Coturnix japonica: one gene and its partners. The protein of the gene in region 5 interacts with the protein of the main gene of each other region in a pairwise test. Links are inferred from orthologs where the notes say so. Each region holds a gene or a part of one and is shown on either strand. Other genes may lie near its edges.

Region 1 (3,955 bases), on a different chromosome or scaffold from region 5:
CTGCTGCTGCTTCCCGACACGCTGCGGTGAGCTCAGAGCTGGGAAGGCAATGATGCAGCCTCACAGCAGGGCTGGGTGCCAGCATAGCCCCGGGTATGATGCACCCACACTGTGATTCTTACACCCCAAAGGTACAAACACAGCCCTGAGTCAATGAGTGCAATGAGGTCTGAGCAGCAGGAGCCCGCCCTGCTCCAGGCAGCTGCTGTGCACAGCTGGGAGGGTGATGGTGGCATCGTGCCCACACCTCCAGCAAGTGTGGGGACAGCTGGGGGAAAGGGGGGGCTGCCAAAGAGGGGTCATACCCCACAACCCCGTATTGACCCCATAGAACCTATATGGGCCCCACAGACCCCATAGAGGCCCCACAACCCCATATGAGCCCCATAGACCCCATACAGGCCCCACAACCCCATACAGGCCCCACAACCCCATATGGGCCCCACAACCCCATACAGGCCCCACAACCCCATACAGGCCCCATAGACCCCATACAGGCCCCACAACCCCATACAGGCCCCACAACCCCATATGGGCCCCACAGATCCCATATGGGCCCCATAGACCCCATATGGGCCCCATAGACCCCATACAGGCCCCATAGACCCCATACAGGCCCCACAACCCCATATGGGCCCCATAGACCCCATACAGGCCCCACAACCCCATATGGGCCCCACAGAACCCATATAAGCCCCATAGACACCATTCCTTGCAACTCTTGGCCCTTCTGTGTGCCCCCCCCTCCTCTCCAACAGCAGCAGGGAAGGGGACACAGGTGCATGGGGCTTGCAAGGCCCCTCCCCATGGCATGGGGTGAGGAATGAATGGAGCACAGCACACCCAGCTCTGTGTCACCCCCCCCCCCCACCTACTGTGTCTTTTTTTTGCCTCCTGGTAAAGCAATAAGAAATCCAAACATTACCATAAATGCTCAAAGCATCTCGGTTCCGTCACGTGGGCACCGGCACACACCCAAAAACCCCTGAAACCAGGCAGGCAGGGAGGGAACGGACCTGAAAACAAGCAGGACAGACAGACAGATAGATAGACAGATAGACAGACACATGGCTTTGCTATGCAGTGCAAGGGGGCTGCATGGGGAAGGGGGGGGGCTACTTCAAGGGGCTGCCGCCATGTCCAGGCACTGCCCAGGGCCTTGCATGTCTTTCTTATGGATCATCTGCTCCACTTGCTCTGTCCTTCCTTAAAAAGCCTTGGGCACGATGCTGGGTGTTCCTCTGGCTGGCGTCACTGTACAGGCAGTGTCTCCTGGGGATGCCCAGCCTGGAAGCTGGCAGGAACTGCTGAACTACTCCATGGCCAAACCTTGGCCTTGGGATTATTCTGAGACCTGTACAGGATATGGAGCGAGCAGCACCGCCTTGACTAACCCTGTGTTGGACAACCAGAAAGCGCTGAGACCGGCACCAACTCATCACACTCATGACAGCTCCATGGGGGGGGGGGGCGGGCTGTTAATAGGGTGCTGGCCCTTTAAATCCGACCCAACCACCGAGTCCCCGCCCACGACAAGATGGCGGCGCCCATAGCAGTGCGGCCCAGCTGATGGCGGCCATGGAGCTGGTGCTGCTGCTGCTGCGCGGCCTACGCCTGGCGCTGGATCTTCTGCTCCTACTGCTGGATCTCAACTTCTTCCTCGTATCCTCGTTGGTCACAGCCTTAATCTGGTTATTCACCACCGCTTCCAGCCTCCCCGGAGCTGCCACAGCTGGGATATGGGCTTGTTGGAACGGGTTGTTAAATGGATTGTGTGGGTTGGTGCTGGGGGTCGTGCAGGGGGTGGGTGGGATGCTGAGGGGCTGCTGTAACGTTATGGAGGGGCTGAAGGTGTTGGGTCACCTGCTAACACACATGGGATTGAGGGGCAGGGAGATGCTGCAGAGAGGGGTGTGCAGCCTGCTGGGCTCGGGGCAGGCTGTATTGAGAGAGGCAGGGGAAGGGTTGGCCATTGGGATCAGTTTATTGGCATATCTGGTTAATAGCGTGGTTAATTTGTGTTTGCTGGGCACGCAGAATTTGTTCACGTTGCTGTTGGCTCTATGGGATGCGGTGACCAGCCCGGTGTTGCGTGTTGGTGAGTTGTTGGCTGCCTTCCTGGCACATGTTTCTAGTAGTGCTATTGCTGTATCCATCTTGCTCTGGTCTCCCTGTCAACTGGCTTTTGAGCTGCTGGTCTCCACCACCGAGCTGCTCATCGGCATCTTCTTTGTCAACGTCTATGGGTTGGCTTTGCTCGTCGCCATCATTGTGGTCAGCGCTGTTATCTTCAACCCCGGGCTGCTCCTGACGTTTCTGGGCCATGTGTTTGGCTACTTCCATACGCTGCCTGCGTATCCCCGGCTGCAGCAGGAGGTGTGGAGGCTGTACCAGCTGGCTGTCCTGATGATGGGCATGGCCATGACCTCGCAGACGTGGCGCAGGTTGGTGGACTGGAGCCTGCAGGTGACCAACTGGAGCCGAGGGGGCAGAACGATGAACAGAGAGAGCGAGAGACGAGGGGCGGCTCAGGTGCTGGGCAGGTTGATGCTGGAAGAGGACAACCATGCTGCAGCACAGCAGGACGAACAGCCAGATGCAGAGCAGGTCCCGCAGGCACATCCAGCTCTGAATCGAAGCGCTGTGTCTGGGCAGCGTCTCCAGGCATCCAGGGATGAGCCGAGCACCTCCTGGGGGAAAGCACCAAGGAGAGAGCAGCTGAATGCAACAGCTGGGGATGGAGCAGGAGCTCCGGACAACGACCCCTGGATGCTTCTGAAAGAACAAGAGGAACGTAAGAAATGCGTCATCTGTCAAGATCAAACCAAGACAGTCCTGCTTCTGCCCTGCAGGCACCTGTGCCTGTGCCAGGAGTGCACAGAAGTCCTCCTGCAGCAGGCGATCTACCAACGCAACTGCCCGCTGTGCCGCCAGATGATCCTCCAGACGCTCAACGTGTACTTGTGAACTGTGGGGGTGGGTAATACGGGTTGTTTTACAGGTGATTGAAGACGCCTCTGCCTCATGCTGGAGTGCAGGATGGCTCTTCCCAGGGCTGTCCTGAGTTGTTTCCAAAGAACTAAGGATGGTGCTGAAGGACCAAGGGGCTGTCAGAGGTGTCTGTCAGCCATGTTAAGTGTACAACTAGGCTGTAGCTCCTGCTAACAAGCACAGCAGCTGATCTCTGCAGCAGGCTGAAAGGTTGGGGTTTTTTGTTTCTGTATTTGACAACTTCTGCTTCAAGGCCTGTTGCCTTGATCTGAAACAAAGCACAGATCTGGTTCCTCCTAGCCAAAACTGATGGAAGGATAAAGGCTGTGCTGCCTTGGGAATTACTGGGACTGGTGCAAGGCAAAGGAGTGTTTTGCTACCAAGGCTTGGCCAAAAAGTTACCTGGTGGACTGCATTTGCACTCTTTCTTCCTCCTGCCATTTAAGTGGGGCAGCTCGCAGGGCAAGGATTTGCATGCCCCTTTTGCAAGGCTCTAGCAAAGCACACTTGAGCTTTTTAGGCTTTTCTACCAAAGGGCTGAGCCCAGCTCTCAGCTGGAGGACAGCAGGGTTTCTGAGGCACCTTAATGTCCCAGCCACCACGGCTTTGGTGTCCCAGTTTTCCCTTGCCATTAGGAGCCACAATGAGCACGATCTCCCTGCAGAACAGCTGACTGCAGAGCTCAGTACTGCTGCTGCTTCCACACCTATGCAAGACCAGCAAGCACAAACCGTGTTACTTGCATGAAGGGAGTTTGTTACCTGCTGCCTGGGGAACCTGAGCAGCCCTCAGGCTCCCTAAGGCTGGAGAGCATTTGCTACATCCCAGGCTGGGCTGGCAGGAAGGGGTGGCTCTTTGGGAGACAAGGGGACACCCCAATCCTTCTTGAAGCCCACTGAGACATTCCAGCTCCAGACATAAGTACTACAGACCTTGTGTGCACGGGGCAGTACCAGGACCACAG
Region 2 (3,516 bases), on a different chromosome or scaffold from region 5:
TCAATGACTTGGATGAGGGAATAGAGTGCACTGTCAGCAAGTTTGCTGATGACACAAAACTGGGAGGAGTGGCTGACATGCCAGAAGGCTGTGCTGCCATCCAGCAAGACCTAGACAGTCTGGAGAGTTGGACAGGGGGACATTTAATGAAATTTAACAAGGCAAGCATAGAGTCTTGTATCTGGGAAAGAAAAATTCCAAATACCAGTATAGGTTGGGGAATGACCTGTCGGAGGAGCAGGGTAAAGGAAAGTGACCTGGGGGGTCCTGGTGGAGAGCAGGATGACCACAAGCCAGCACTGCACCCCTGTGGCCAAGAAGGCCAATAGCATCCTGTGGTGCATTAGAAGGGCTGCAGTCAGTAGGTCTAGAAGGTTCTCCTCTCCCTCTACACTGCCTTGGTTAGACCACATCTGGAATACTGTGTCCCATTCTAGGTCCCTCAGTTCAAGAAGAAGGAACTGCTTGAGAGAGTCCAGAACCCACAAAGAGGATTAAGGGAGTAGCTTGGAGGAGACTGAGGGGTGACCTCATTAATGTTTATAAATATGTAAAGGATGTGTGTCAGGAGGATGGAGCCAGGCTCTTCTCAGTGACATCCAATGACAGGACAAGGGGGCAATGTGTGCAGACTGGAATACAAAAGGTTCCACATAAATGTGAGAAAAAATATCTTCATGGTGAGATTAATGTCACACTGGAATGGGGTGCCCAGACAGGTTGTGGGGTCTCCTTCTCTGAAGACATTCAAAACCTGCCTGGACGCATTCCTGGACCCAATCTAGGTGTTCCTGCTCCAGCAGAAGGACAGGACTAGGTGATCTTTCAAGGTACCTTCTAACTGCTGACATCCTGTGTTTCTATGAAATCAGTCATCTTTTCCAGATTCTTTTCCTCTCCGCTTTTCACAGTCACTCTTAACTTTTCACCGCTATCTGTTTAACCTCCTCTACTGCCCTTGTACCTGGCAGGTAATAAACCAGTTTAGAAAGCTCTCTTATTCTGTACCTCCAGCTGAAGTACCAGCAGTGCTGCTATTGGGAAGACTAGAAGTTGTCTCTGGTGCTGCAGAGGGCTGGCTAGTGGAGACGTTTGGAGCTGCATCAGAGGCCTGCTCTGAGGTAGACGTACTAGAACTGTTACTGGAAGCAGAACTCACGACCTGCGGCTCCACTCTAGCTGACGTGGTTGGCACAACTGTTGGCTCTGGCAGGAAAAAGAAAAGTTTTCAAGTTCTGTAAACTTTCAAAGTTGTTAAGATTTTTTTAAATTGATATCTGTAGGTTTAAAATTCATACAATACATGCTAGTCTTGCCAGGTGCTGAGAAAGTCAGAATATAAAAATGAGTATAAAATCGAAAAGTTAATTGTTTAACTTGTGTGTGCACATATGCTCACATATTTCCTGAAGTCTTTCATAAATAACAGGCAAACTACTCTATGATTACGTTATTCTATGACTCCTTACCACCTTCCAATGCCTACAAAGCACAGGAAAGCTTTTGGATAACTAAGCAAGGTTGTAAAACATCTAAACTAACTGAACTGCCTTATAAGCTTCAGCCATTCTTGACACACTGTATTACAGGCACCAGCAAGATAAACTTTTTTTCTAGTCTCAATACACATTAAGCAGTCAATACATTTTACAGGATGAGGGAAAATACACTACTTGATAAATGCTGCTCTCGACCACACGTCTGTGCACAGGCTACATTTTTTTTAAAAGATATTTTGAGGCGCAATTCAAATTCAGTTTCAAAAAATCTGCTTTTGACTATATTTGAAATTTCTTATTACTGACAGAGTAATGACATGCCTAAGAATAGAAGACGTAGTAAGATGATCACTTTTTTTCTAGTAAAAATACGTGTTGCAAGACACTGGCTTCTGACACACTCAGAGAGGGAACTGTCACAAATGAAAGTTCCTTTTAAAAGTTAATACATACTCCCTTCTAAACAACCACCACCACCACATCAGATTCAGACTTCTTCCACAGCTTTTGATAATGCCTGGAAATTGCTCTGACAATTATCATCATCACTAAGCTTGAATGCCAAACTTAGTGGATTTTAATGGTAGGAAACCACAGAACATTACAATTTCAGAAGCATAGAGCGTGCTTTACTAGCTCAGTTCTTTATGGACTACTATTACACAAAGTTTTTCCGCTAAATGGTACAACAGGGTTAATAGAATTCTATCCTATTCCATTTGTCATGGTTTTATAACTTTTGGTTACCGATATCCTGCATCATATCATCATGTAGCACACTGGGAGTTAAAGTGTTAATGCTCCACTGATCATCTCGCTCCTAAAAAAGGAAGAGACTTCAGAGACCAATGTGACTTACCATCTTCATCCACCGTAAGGTCCACTACCTCTGCAGCGTTCTGTCTCAGTGGCTGTATGACTGTGGAAATCCTGCTGCGGTTCCGCTGTTCTTGAGGCCGTGCAGCATGAGTACTAGAGCTTTGTCCCCACTGGGATCTTGAATGTCCAAGAGTTGAACGAGACCTTAAAAACACATCGCCTTAAGTACTGACTCAAACCTTACATTTACTATTTTTTCTCCTCAATGTTTCAGAAGCTATTTCATTTTTTCCCCCTTTTTTAATAACAAAAAAGCATTTTGGTTATGCTGAAATACAAGTCTAGTGAATGTGGCATGGCAGGGTATTTAGAAGCACTATTTTAGACTTTACCAGATAACTTAATGGAAAGTGTCTAACATGTAATCCTATGAACTAAGTACTGGTATTTTATTAACAAAAAAAACAACAAACTGTGAAACCCTACAGCATCAGTCATGCAGTAGCTATACCTAATGTTACTACTTTGTTAGAGAAATATAAGACACTCTGAATTCTACACTACCCCTATGCAGTCTGAAACAGCAGATCTATGAATGGTGATAGAAGAGCAAAGATGATAAAATCCTGTAAGAATTAAGTCCTTCTGAGTATTAATTTGTGGCAGTGTTTTCAGAGGATCATTTCTGAACTTTTAAGGTCCAGAGATTGCTTTGGACATTTATCTTGTGAATATTACTTCCCTTGTCCCCTCTAAGAATAAACACAGCTTTGTGTAACATTTAACAAAGCTCAAGTGAAATGCAGCCTGAGAAAAGGAAATCCTACGCCTGTACCATTCCTAAGGAAATGGGTGATTTTTTTTTTCCTGCAGACATTCTACTTAATTTAGTCATACCAATCCGAATGCTCAAATCAATGATGCTTTGAAGTTTAAGCTAAGAGATTACTATCTTTAATTAGGAAAGTGATATTTCACTGCAGGATATTTACCACCGACTCTCCTATACACACCAAATAGCTCCATTTTCCAATTTGGAAAAACAACATACTCAAACTTCAGTAACTCAGCAGTGAAGAAAAGGGAATGACTAAAACAAAAACAAACAAAACCCACTGCACAAATCACCATGGAGTTCAGTCAACACTTCTATTCTGCCTGTATTCCTTTCACTTCTCTAGCAAGCCATTTTCTCAAG
Region 3 (4,220 bases), on a different chromosome or scaffold from region 5:
AATAACTTATTCCTGATACAGGAGTACTTCACCATTCTGCGAATTCTCAGTGATACCACCTTGGTATCAGAAAAAAAACCTTTTTCCCTCCCAGTCAGCTTTATTCACTGAAAAGCTGTTTTCTGCATCATTCACTATGAGATTTCAATTTGATTTAACAGTACGTGCTCTGTGTGAAATGATAATACATTAACTCATAAGCTTTTCTATATGCACTTGTTACTGCTACCCAGGGCAATAGCTACCTGTCATTAGCATCAATGATAACAGCATGAATGAAAAGGAACTTCTGCCCTTCAGAATCCCTACAAAGGAGTCATTCACAGGTTACGTCTCCAGATGAAAGGTTTTTCTTGGTCATCACTACATACAACATAAAAGCAGTTATGTATGATCCCGAGAAACATCAGATGAAGGAACAAGACAGTTTTTTTGTAATATAACCACTCTCCATAACCCCAGTATGTAATAGACAACTTACACTGACTGCATTTTGAAGTCTTGTTTGCTCCAAGATCCTTCTACTTGTACTGTCCTGAGTCCTGAATTAAAGACAAATCCTTAATACTTGCACCTTCTCACCATCTCCATTTCCTGTCTCCCACAATGCTGTTTCTATATTCAGTCTAACAAGCTTTCATGAAAGCTGCAGTCTTTCTTCTTACCTTCTTCTATGCTTCCTAAGTACTTCAAACGTTTCCCCTATTGTCCTTGTTGCTAAGCAAGCCAGGAACACCTTCCAATTATTTTAGATTACCGACTCTTATACCAAATTTACTAGGAAGTCTTTTGAAAGGGCCAGATACACATCCTTCCAGCTTTGCGAAACTGTGGTTCGCAAGCACATTAAACATGCATCAAACCCCATATACCCATCATATCCAACTGAAGAACAGTGAACTGGTTTGGCTGCTAGTTAACCAGCTTCCTTTTTAATGAACACTCACCTAAACCTCGCATGACTTCTTTCACTACTTTCTACATACAATTTGGATTTAACAGTTTTTGCACTAACAGTAAGCTTTGCTAATATTGGGAAGACCTTCAAATCTGTTCTAGGACAGAAGAAACATGGAAGAAGAAGAAAAAAAGGACATTTAAAACATGTAACCTTAAAAGAAAACAAACTGTAAAGACATCACAAAAGATTCTAGATTCTTGTGTGTCACACTCCCAAATGCTGATACAAGCACAAAAGAAAAGCTTCAGTTTTATTAGGCAGCGTCATCTAATTACATCAATTTACTGTTTGCACCGCAAATAAATACCACCTCAGACATTTCCCACTGAATTAGAACCTCATGTTATGTTAAAATAGCTACAGACAGCAGGGCAGCCATTCAGAACATAATGATTTCTTAGGAATCCAAAATAATGAAATATTACATATCATCACCTGAAGACCACAAACTTCAGGATGAAGATGAAAATTAGTTTCAGATGTGCAACATTCTTCATGATCCTCCTCATTCTTCTTCCTTTCTACACAAGTTTTCCCATCTTCTCCTGCTCACTTGCCATCCTTCACCATTTTCCTCTCTATTGTCGACATTCACAGGAAGTAAAACAGAATACTTCCCTTGTAGTGCTTTAAAAAACAACAAACTTATCTCCTTTCTGTTACTTCTTGCAAAAACGTTTCCAATTCCTGACCCTTAGCCTCCTTAACATCACTTCCCCAGGTTTTCTAAAACATCAGAAGCTTTCCCTCTTCCTCAATCCTCCAACAACAGACTTTTAGTCATTTTCCACACTGGACTGAAGTTCCTTATCCAGGCAGTGCAAGCTCTGCCCTTGCCTCCCAGAGTTTGCCTCTCCATTACCTGCCTGACGACAGGCTGTATTTTCCCCCCTCCCCCTCCAAGTTCTTTGTGATTTAAGTGCGATACGTTTATCAGTAGAGGATAGATTCCTTATGGGTTCCGACCTTCAGAAGCAGCAGGCAGTCACACCCCCGGCACTAACAGCCCGGTTGTTGTGTCGCCTATACGTGCAGGTCTCAAGAGCTTCCTGGATGACTCAATGCGCCTCAGTGGGAATCTCAAATTCTCAGCAGAACAAGGTGAAAGTGCTTCGTGTGCAAATCAACGTAAACAGAGGAAATAAGCTTACAAAGAGCGAATGCCTTTTCTCCCCTAGAATTAAGTCAGAGGGGTTTACAGGTCGGACTTCTTAGCAGCAATTAAAAAAAAAAAAAAAAAGAAACTACAGACTCCTCCAAAGCCGACAAAACCAGTAACAAAGCCCACCAGGCCCGGCTAAATACACCTCGCCTTTCAAGGCTTTCAGGAACGCACCAAACGCTTCCCATGGCCGCGTTACATCCCGCAGCCCTCGCACACCGCGCCGTTCTCCCCGCTCCAGCCCCGCCACGCACTCCACGCTGACGTACGGCCGAGCTCAACGCGGCCCGCAGCACCCGGACATCAAAAGCCCACAGACACGCTACCGCCCCCGGCCGGCCTGAGCCTCCCGGAGCCGCTCCTCCCGTACCTGTCCATGCTCTGCGGCAGCGCCAGGCCCGTCTGCTCCGACATCGTTACGGCAGCGGAAGGCACGGGCCTAGCCGAGGCCCCGCAGCCTGACAAAGGGGCCCAGCGCGGGGGGGGCCGCGCGTCACGCAGGGAGACAGCAGGATGACAGCAGGATAACAGCAGGATAACAGCAGGATAACAGCAGGATAACAGCAGGATAACAGCAGGATAACAGCAGGATAACAGCAGGATAACAGCAGGATAACAGCAGCGCCGTGCAGCGAGGCCGCCCCCCGCCACGCGCCTCCCTCGGCGGGCGGGACGCGGCGCGCGGAGGGCGCTACGCACACACGGCGCGGCCCGAGCCGCCGCGGTGCCGAGCTGAAAGGCGGCGGGGCCTCTGTGAGGTAAAGGCCGAGCGCGACTGCGACGCCCGTCCCCGCCCTCTTCCCAGCGCGACTGCGCCCGGGAGGCGGTCGAGACGGACGGGCACGCCGGGAAGTGTAGTCCCGCCGCCTCCGGGGGCTTAAAGGTCCCGCGAGGCTCCGCTGCCCCCTCGCCCGGTTCCCTCCCTATGCCGCTTCTCGCTGCCGCCGCCTAACTGCTGCCCGGCACCGCGCGCGGGGCAGGTAGGGGCCGCGCTCGCGTGGAGGGCTCCGATGGGGGACAGTCAGCACCGCGCCCGGCCCCGCGCCCTCGGCAACGGCCGCTCCGGTCACTGAGCGGGGAGCGGCGGGAAGGGCCCTCGCGCCTCCGCTCTCGCTCACACGGAGCGGCCGTTGCGCTCCGCAGCTCCTCCCTCACGGCGGCGGCCGAGAGAACGGAGCGGCGCCGCTGCTGCGGGCGAGGAGGTGGGAGGGAGCTGCCGCCGCCCGTTCGGCAGGTGCAGGCTCTGCCCTGGGGGAAGCGAGGCCCCGCGCGGTGTTGGGGAGCTGCTGCGATCGCGGTGTGTGCTTGTAGAGGCTGCGGTGAGGGAAGTGCCCGGCACCTCTGGATGCGGCCCTTCTGAAAGGCCTGGCGGCCGCTGGTACCTTGAGTGAGCTGTGGGGCAGCTGGTGGTAGCGCTCGTAAGCATGGAGAAGTCCTTTAGGGCTTTGAAAATCCATTGTATGTTCCGAAGTCAAGACACGGTAGCACAGTATAAGAAGCTGGAATTTTAGAGTCTGAGAAGTCTTTATGGAACAAAGGGGTGGACAACACCCAAGAGTTGCTGCTGTTTGTCTCCCTAGGGCCCTCTTCCACTCCTCCATCAGCCCAAATGTGCAGGTATTGGCGCACATGGAGAGGTTCTGCATCGTGCTGTGTTCCCTGTGCAAAGAGCAGTGTTGTTCTTTGCAGAGATGCTCACTACATTTCCAGGTCCTAGGAAAGTTGGTTGGTAAAGATCAGCCTTAGGTCTTCCTTATCGAGTTTTGATGATGGTTGTGTACGTATATCTGAGAACTGCAGCTTTGCTGCATGTAACCAGTCCTCAGAATCTTGTGTAATTTGTATCTTGCTCTGTTTTTTTTTTACTTTATTTGCTGTACACAGTGGTACCTTTCTGGGCCAGCTCCACATCTGTGCACCCTCTTCGGTGCACATCAGTTCTGGCTTGAGCTGAGCAGGATTAGCCTGGTGGCTCTGTACAGCTGCAGGGATCAGGCAGGACAGGAAGGAGACTGCACAGAATGTACTTCATCCTTTGACCCTGCTGTCGTAGCTAAGGGAAAATTAGTCTGGTTTTGAGTCTTTGGTGGGAGAAAA
Region 4 (3,114 bases), on a different chromosome or scaffold from region 5:
TGATTATTATTCCCTAATTTCCATCTCATCCCTATTACTGTCCCGTTAGAGGACCCCAAGGGCTCATTTCTGTCTCTATCACCTCCACGTAATTCGCTCAGGGTGGGATTCAGCCCACGCGATCACCGCGGCCGGGCTCTGCGGGAGCGCCCAGCTGCGGGCACGGCCGCCCCCCAGCGGCTGCTCGGGGCACAGGAACGGCTGCGCTGCGGGACGGGGATGCGCGGGGATGCACTGCTGGAGCTGTGGGTGTCCCTGCTCAGTGCAGGGAGTGCGAGCAGACCCTGCAAGGTCCCATCCAACTCAAACCACTCTGTGATTCTGATTCCGCACCCCCCAGCCAAGCTCTGCCCGCTCCACACCCATCAGCTCTCATCCCCCCAGCCGGCTCTCCAACAGCCCCAAACCCATTTTATTTCCAGTCCCCCCACACATTGTTCCTCTTCCATCTCCCCCTTCACGCCACACTTGGATTCTCATCGTACAGGAACACACAGGACTCAGCAAACAATTTCCAACACTGATCAAGATTTTATTTCATTTCTTTAAACAGTAAAACCAAACAGCCGGGTTCTGAGCAAACCCCATCATCTCAAAAGAAAAACCCCTGGCAGTTCACACACAGCATCGCAAGGTAAGGCTGCCCAGAAAGGTTCACTGCAATCAATTACTCTCACCTAAACATCGAGGCCTTTCCTTAAACCCACCTTCAAACCTCCCTAAAGACCGACAGTAAAAAACAGATACCAATGATTCTAGATAATACTGGGCTCCTTCTAAAGGGCGGCGGAACAAGGATTCACTCATCAGGAATTAAACAAGTCACAGCTGTGTAAAATCCCACTCTGTAAGCTTAGCAGTGCTGGTTCCGGGTGTACGTGGGGTCAGAAATCCCTTAGAAAGATGCCGGGTGAGCAGATGGGGCTGCACAGTGCACAAGGGTCACCTGCCCTCCCGGTGCTTCTGTCTAATGGCAGAGCTGTGGGGTTAAAAATGACATAGAAAGCGTGATATCAGACATCAGAGCCAGCTCCAGCCTTCAAGTCCGTGCTGCTCCGCAGTCCAAAACAGGTGGGCTCCTCAATGGGACTCCATCAGCTTTTTAACACCGAATTCTGGGGGCTGCAGCCTCCCCTGTGCCCCCCCCAATTCTCCACTCTGCTCCTCCCCGCTTCTCACTTCTTTCTGGCTCTAAAAGGAAGATAGCGCAGCCCTGGGGAGCGAGCAGAACTACAGGCCAAGTGCCAAGAGCCCAGCAACGGTGAGCAAAGTGCTGTATGCATCGCTGTGAATCAGAGCAGCACTGCACAATTAGCAACTCCATTTTTTCCTATGTTGCGTTGCCAGACAGCTTCCACCCGCCTACAAACGGGCTTCCCAGCAGCACCGCAGCCAACCGACGCAGCTCCTTCACTCGGGAGGTGAGCAGGGAGCAGCTGCTCCTCTAACACAGGGTTTGCTGCCAACCCCTGCGCTTCCTTCCCCTCTTGCAGCCATGCCCTCCGACCTGCACCCACAGCTGCTCAATTCCAACTCATCTCCCTCAGCTTCCGTTGTGCAGTCAGGCCAACGCCTCGTGCAAAGAGAAATCGCACTGGTGGTTCAGATTGCTTTTGTCTGTGGAGGGGATCAACATCACATAGAAAACATTACAAAAAAGGTTAATTTGTCAGCTGTCCAAACATGATTAGACCACATGCTTTATACAGCAGAGCGGCAGCCAGCTCACTCGGCAGCGCTCAACTCTGAAGTGACACTTTCCTGCTGGTATAGAAATGCAGGGGTTTTGTGTTTCATTTCTTTTATTCAACATTGCTCACGAGGAGGAGGAAGGAGGAGCAGTGAGCGCTATGAGTTCTGCTGCATCTGCAGTCTCCGCTCGGCGGCGGCTGCCAGCGTCCTGCGGCGCAGCGTGACTGGGTCAGCGGAGGTTCCCTCGGGCACTGAGGGCTTCTCTGTGCTCAGATCTTCATCTGAGGTCTTGTTCAAGTAACGCCTGCAAGAGGAGAAAAGGGAGATGAGTGAGAGCAGCCCAATCTGTTTGGCTCCAGAAAACAGTCGGTGCTTTCAGGAAACAAGGCAGGAGCTGAAGCGCATCCAAAGCTAGAAAATACTTTGCATGGACACACTAATGATGCACTCAGACTCTGAGACCTGAGGTGAGTTACTGACTGGGTCCCACCACTGCACCATGCTGAAGTGCAGGCAGAACCTGCAGCTCCCTCCATGAGGACAGGGAAGGCGCTGACAGGTGGGCACTGGGGCTGCAAAGTGCCATATCTACATTCAATACTAGTTGAGCTGGGAGTAAGAGTTGGCCACGCTCACTTTGGCAGTGCTGACCTGCTCATCAGAAGCTCTTCTGGTCTGTCAGCCCTACGCAGCTCAATACCTGCTCTTGTTCTGTATTTGGAAAGTGGTGACCGACAGTGAGCTCAGCTGCAGCAGCACACAGCACAGGCTGACACCCAGGCAGGCAGGTTGGCTAGAAGTGTACTAGGAGTCTCAGCACAAGCAGTATTTCCTCACTTACTAGAAGCTGAATCTAAAGCTCACTGAAGCTGGAAAAATCACCCTATGAGCTCTGATCCACCAATTGAGAGGCTGTGTGCACGCTGCAACACAAGACGCTGTTTCAGAACTGGGTTTATCAGAGGCACAGGTCTGTCTTAAAGAGCACCTGAGCGTGTTGCAGCAATGTATTCATCCCTCCTAATACTCTTTGCACCACCCCAGTCTTTCAGTCATAATCCATGTAACAGCCATTCTGGGAGATTAAAACCGAGTGGCCAGGCTGCAGCTGTAGGAAGGAACATACTTTCGAGCTTGCTGCAACAAGTCCTCCTTCCGCTGAACCAACATGCGCTGCCTCTCATCAGCTGACTTGGAAAAGCGACTTCCCCTGGCCTCAAAATCTTCTGCTTCACTGGGTTCTGCCTCCACTTCGCTCAGTTCTCCCATTTCTTCCAGTCTTGAGTTGAGTTCCAGTGGCACTCTTTTGGTCTAAGAGAAAAAATGGGGAAGTTAGGAAAAGAGGGAGTTTTCTTTTTCAGTTAAACATCTCAAGTCTGTGCAAAATTTGCCACCAGGGCTTCTTCACATCAAACTAACAAG
Region 5 (2,869 bases):
CTAAGCGGCAGCTGTCTGTCACACGCCGAGCTGCTGCTGCTGCCTTTCACCTCCTCCGAGCGCAGCCCCGCAGCGCTTTACCTCTCCTTGCCTCCCGTTTTCCCCTGGCCCTGACCCGCCCCCTATCGGCAGCCCGGCCCGGCCCGACGCCGCACCGGGAGCTGTTGCCTGCTCGCTGCCCGGCGGTGAGGAACGACAGGAGAACAGCTTTTGGAATTGGGTTTTACTCATCTCGCTCTGCCTCCTCGCGTGTAACAACAGCCTCGCTATAAGGCGTGACCCCTCGCCTCTCCCAGGCAGGAGTGGTGAGAGGAAGGCTGAATGTAATCAACGCGACTGATGGCAGCATCTCAGTCCACGCGGATTACGTGATGTCCGATCAAACCACGGTTCCTTGCAGCAACGCACGTGGTGAAGAGGAGGGCAGCTGCTACAGCTGATTGCCCTTATGGAGCAGCAGCCACAGGCCCCGAAGCCCCAAGCAGCAGCAGTGTCAAAACCTTGGCTTCCCAGCCAGGAGCTGCCCAGAAAGGTTGCAAAGCCCTCTGCACTCACTGCTGCTGTTGGAGGGCTTCCACCCAACAGCAACACTATGGTTCTATTACCAAAGCATCATCCCTAGAGCCATCGTTCGGGGCTTTGCTTGTCACATAGGGCTGGGCAGGGAAAAACAAAATGGAAAGCACTTTGTAATGCCATTTCTCAGCAATGAAACCTTCCTTTAGCTGAGAAATAAGTAATAACTTTATTTTTCTAAGGCATGGGTGAAATCAATTTCTGACTATCTTGAAACATCAGCTGTATCAAATAGATATTCTTTGAAACCAGCTGGAAACCACACAGGGGGTTGGGGCACCAGCTGAGAGCAAAGAACATAATGGATGGATTGAGCCCAACCAGCTTCCCAGATGCTGGGGGTATAATCACACACTAATAGTGCACCCCAAACGCGTGTTGCATAAGCCTGTGTATTAGAGGCAGTGATTTACACACCAAACACACATACTGAGGCTTAGTGACAGGATGGTGTTGTGAGTATCCAGGCGACAGCGAGGTTTTATTCACGCCAACAGAACGCTACAGTGACATAATTTGTTTAAATACACTTTGGGGAATGCAGCATTTGCTAAGGCAGCTTTATACACACCCTTGATTCAGCTGTGGTAGCTTGTCATCCTTCCCTTCTCATCCTTCCGTTGTTTAGTTTTCTGACATTCCTTACCTTGTACTTCATTTAAGAGTTGAGCTGAAGAACACAGCAGGATATTCCTTACGTACTCTTCTGCTGTAATATATCAATGGGGAATAACGCAAATACTTCTTGTGAGGCTACTACGAAAGCTTTTGCACAAAAGCAGGTCATTTAGAAGATGGGTCATGACAGATTCTGTAAGAGATGAGTCATTACTTACATTTTCTATACCTTTATGACTGAGGTTTTTTTTCCTCCTACTATAAGATACAGGATAAAAGCCAGTCAGTACCCCCCAGTAAGAACAACTTAACAGAATCATTACAAATCCTGATTTTTGACAGTATGAGGTGCATGGTTCTTGCATACATCCACTCTGCTTCATACACATACAATGAGAGTGCTGTGACTTGCCCTACACTTTGTCACCATCAAATGTGTTTTTACCCCTCAGCAGATCCCACAGGGCCCTCAAAAAAGCCCACCACACAGCAATGTACTTGACAAGAGAGGGACAGAACCACAGAAGCAGGTGCATGTTTTCAACCTATACAATAGAGCAGTAGAATTGGTTGGAAGGGATTTCTGGATTTCATCTGCTCTACAGCCTCTCAACTCCTTTTAAAGTCGGGGCGATGTTAAAGCTGGCTGTGCCTTTGAATCCAGCAGATTGCTCAGGGCCTCACTCGGTTTAGTTCTCTCAGAGTGGTCAGGCACTGGAATGGCTGCCCAGGGAGATGGTGGAGTCACCATCCCTGGCAATGTTCAAGAAGCGTCTGGATGAGGAGCTATGAGATATGGTTTAGAGGTTCTCTGTAGGTATGGTAAAGGGAGGATGGTTGGACTAGATGATCTTGTAGGTCCTTTCCAACCTTGTCATTCTATGATTCTATGAAAACACCCACGGGTGAAGATTTTAAATCCCCTTTTTGACACCTTTTCATTACAGGCTTTGACAAAATATTCATCCTTAGCTCTACTTTTAAAATGTACATTCACGAACAACGTGTGTTACACAAGTGCCTAAAACCATTATAAAACCCTGTGTAGGACACAGAATGACAGACATGAACAAACCATGGCACGACTGAGTAGTTTGCAAATACAATACACAGCTTTCTCAGCTAATGGAAACTGTTCTTCATATTCCAATAAAGACTTCTAACAACTCACTGATCCTGTCTCATGATTCACATCTAAAACGTGAGTTCCCCACAGCAGATGAACCACACAATCACTTCCAGAATCAAAAAGAATTACAACTAATGCTTGTCAGCATACATTCAATGTTCTTCATCACTTCTAATTAAATCGCACAAGTCTCAGGTCCCCCATTCCTTTATAAATATCGTTATTCGAGAACACACCACCAAGGTGAATCCAAACAAAATGATGTAATGTCTTTACAGCCACCAGCTTGCATCTAATTTTCTCCACACAAAGGTATGACAGGCAGCTCTTCATTAGTTGTCCCACTGACCCAAATCCTGATGCTTTGCATCTCCCTGAAATTATTTGTTCCTGTTGTACTCATAGACCAGCGCTGGAAATAATCAAGCCCTGCCTAAATAAATGCTTTACCCTTTTAATAACGTTAGCAAAAATTGAAAAATTACACCAGCAAATTATTTTATAGTCCGTAGCCGTAATTGCACTCAGACATTAAGAAAACTACAC

What was found.
Region 1: the proteins of UBE2W (region 5) and RNF26 interact in a two-hybrid assay, tested with the Homo sapiens proteins (2 studies listed by BioGRID and IntAct). The link is inferred for Coturnix japonica from reciprocal best matches to the Homo sapiens genes UBE2W and RNF26.
Region 2: the proteins of UBE2W (region 5) and RNF111 interact in a two-hybrid assay, tested with the Homo sapiens proteins (2 studies listed by BioGRID and IntAct). The link is inferred for Coturnix japonica from reciprocal best matches to the Homo sapiens genes UBE2W and RNF111.
Region 3: the proteins of UBE2W (region 5) and MARCHF5 interact in binary tests that used the Homo sapiens proteins (3 or more experiments, as listed by UniProt). The link is inferred for Coturnix japonica from reciprocal best matches to the Homo sapiens genes UBE2W and MARCHF5.
Region 4: the proteins of UBE2W (region 5) and AMFR interact in a two-hybrid assay, tested with the Homo sapiens proteins (2 studies listed by BioGRID and IntAct). The link is inferred for Coturnix japonica from reciprocal best matches to the Homo sapiens genes UBE2W and AMFR.

The regions. Positions count from the first base shown.
Region 1 is NC_029539.1:3,580,216-3,584,170, reverse strand, and holds the start of RNF26 (E3 ubiquitin-protein ligase RNF26), read left to right. Parts: upstream 1-1,154; 5' UTR 1,155-1,569; coding exon 1,570-2,967; 3' UTR 2,968-3,955. UniProt on the Homo sapiens protein: E3 ubiquitin-protein ligase that plays a key role in endosome organization by retaining vesicles in the perinuclear cloud.
Region 2 is NC_029525.1:5,847,851-5,851,366, forward strand, and holds part of RNF111 (E3 ubiquitin-protein ligase Arkadia), read right to left. Parts: intron 2,523-3,516; coding exon 2,359-2,522; intron 1,207-2,358; coding exon 1,009-1,206; intron 1-1,008. UniProt on the Homo sapiens protein: E3 ubiquitin-protein ligase. Required for mesoderm patterning during embryonic development. Acts as an enhancer of the transcriptional responses of the SMAD2/SMAD3 effectors, which are activated downstream of BMP.
Region 3 is NC_029521.1:18,091,738-18,095,957, forward strand, and holds the start of MARCHF5 (E3 ubiquitin-protein ligase MARCH5), read right to left. Parts: upstream 2,815-4,220; 5' UTR 2,716-2,814; exon of another isoform or gene 2,639-2,715; 5' UTR 2,538-2,638; coding exon 2,494-2,537; intron 508-2,493; exon of another isoform or gene 493-507; coding exon of another isoform or gene 482-492; intron 1-481. UniProt on the Homo sapiens protein: Mitochondrial E3 ubiquitin-protein ligase that plays a crucial role in the control of mitochondrial morphology by acting as a positive regulator of mitochondrial fission and as an important regulator of immune response.
Region 4 is NC_029526.1:500,535-503,648, forward strand, and holds the end of AMFR (E3 ubiquitin-protein ligase AMFR), read right to left. Parts: intron 3,004-3,114; coding exon 2,819-3,003; intron 1,997-2,818; coding exon 1,849-1,996; 3' UTR 509-1,848; downstream 1-508. UniProt on the Homo sapiens protein: E3 ubiquitin-protein ligase that mediates the polyubiquitination of lysine and cysteine residues on target proteins, such as CD3D, CYP3A4, CFTR, INSIG1, SOAT2/ACAT2 and APOB for proteasomal degradation.
Region 5 is NC_029517.1:106,911,473-106,914,341, forward strand, and holds the end of UBE2W (ubiquitin-conjugating enzyme E2 W), read right to left. Parts: intron 1,388-2,869; coding exon of another isoform or gene 1,296-1,387; exon of another isoform or gene 1,292-1,295; intron 1,286-1,291; coding exon 1,155-1,285; 3' UTR 1,148-1,154; exon of another isoform or gene 1,028-1,147; intron 657-1,027; 3' UTR 516-656; downstream 1-515. UniProt on the Homo sapiens protein: Accepts ubiquitin from the E1 complex and catalyzes its covalent attachment to other proteins.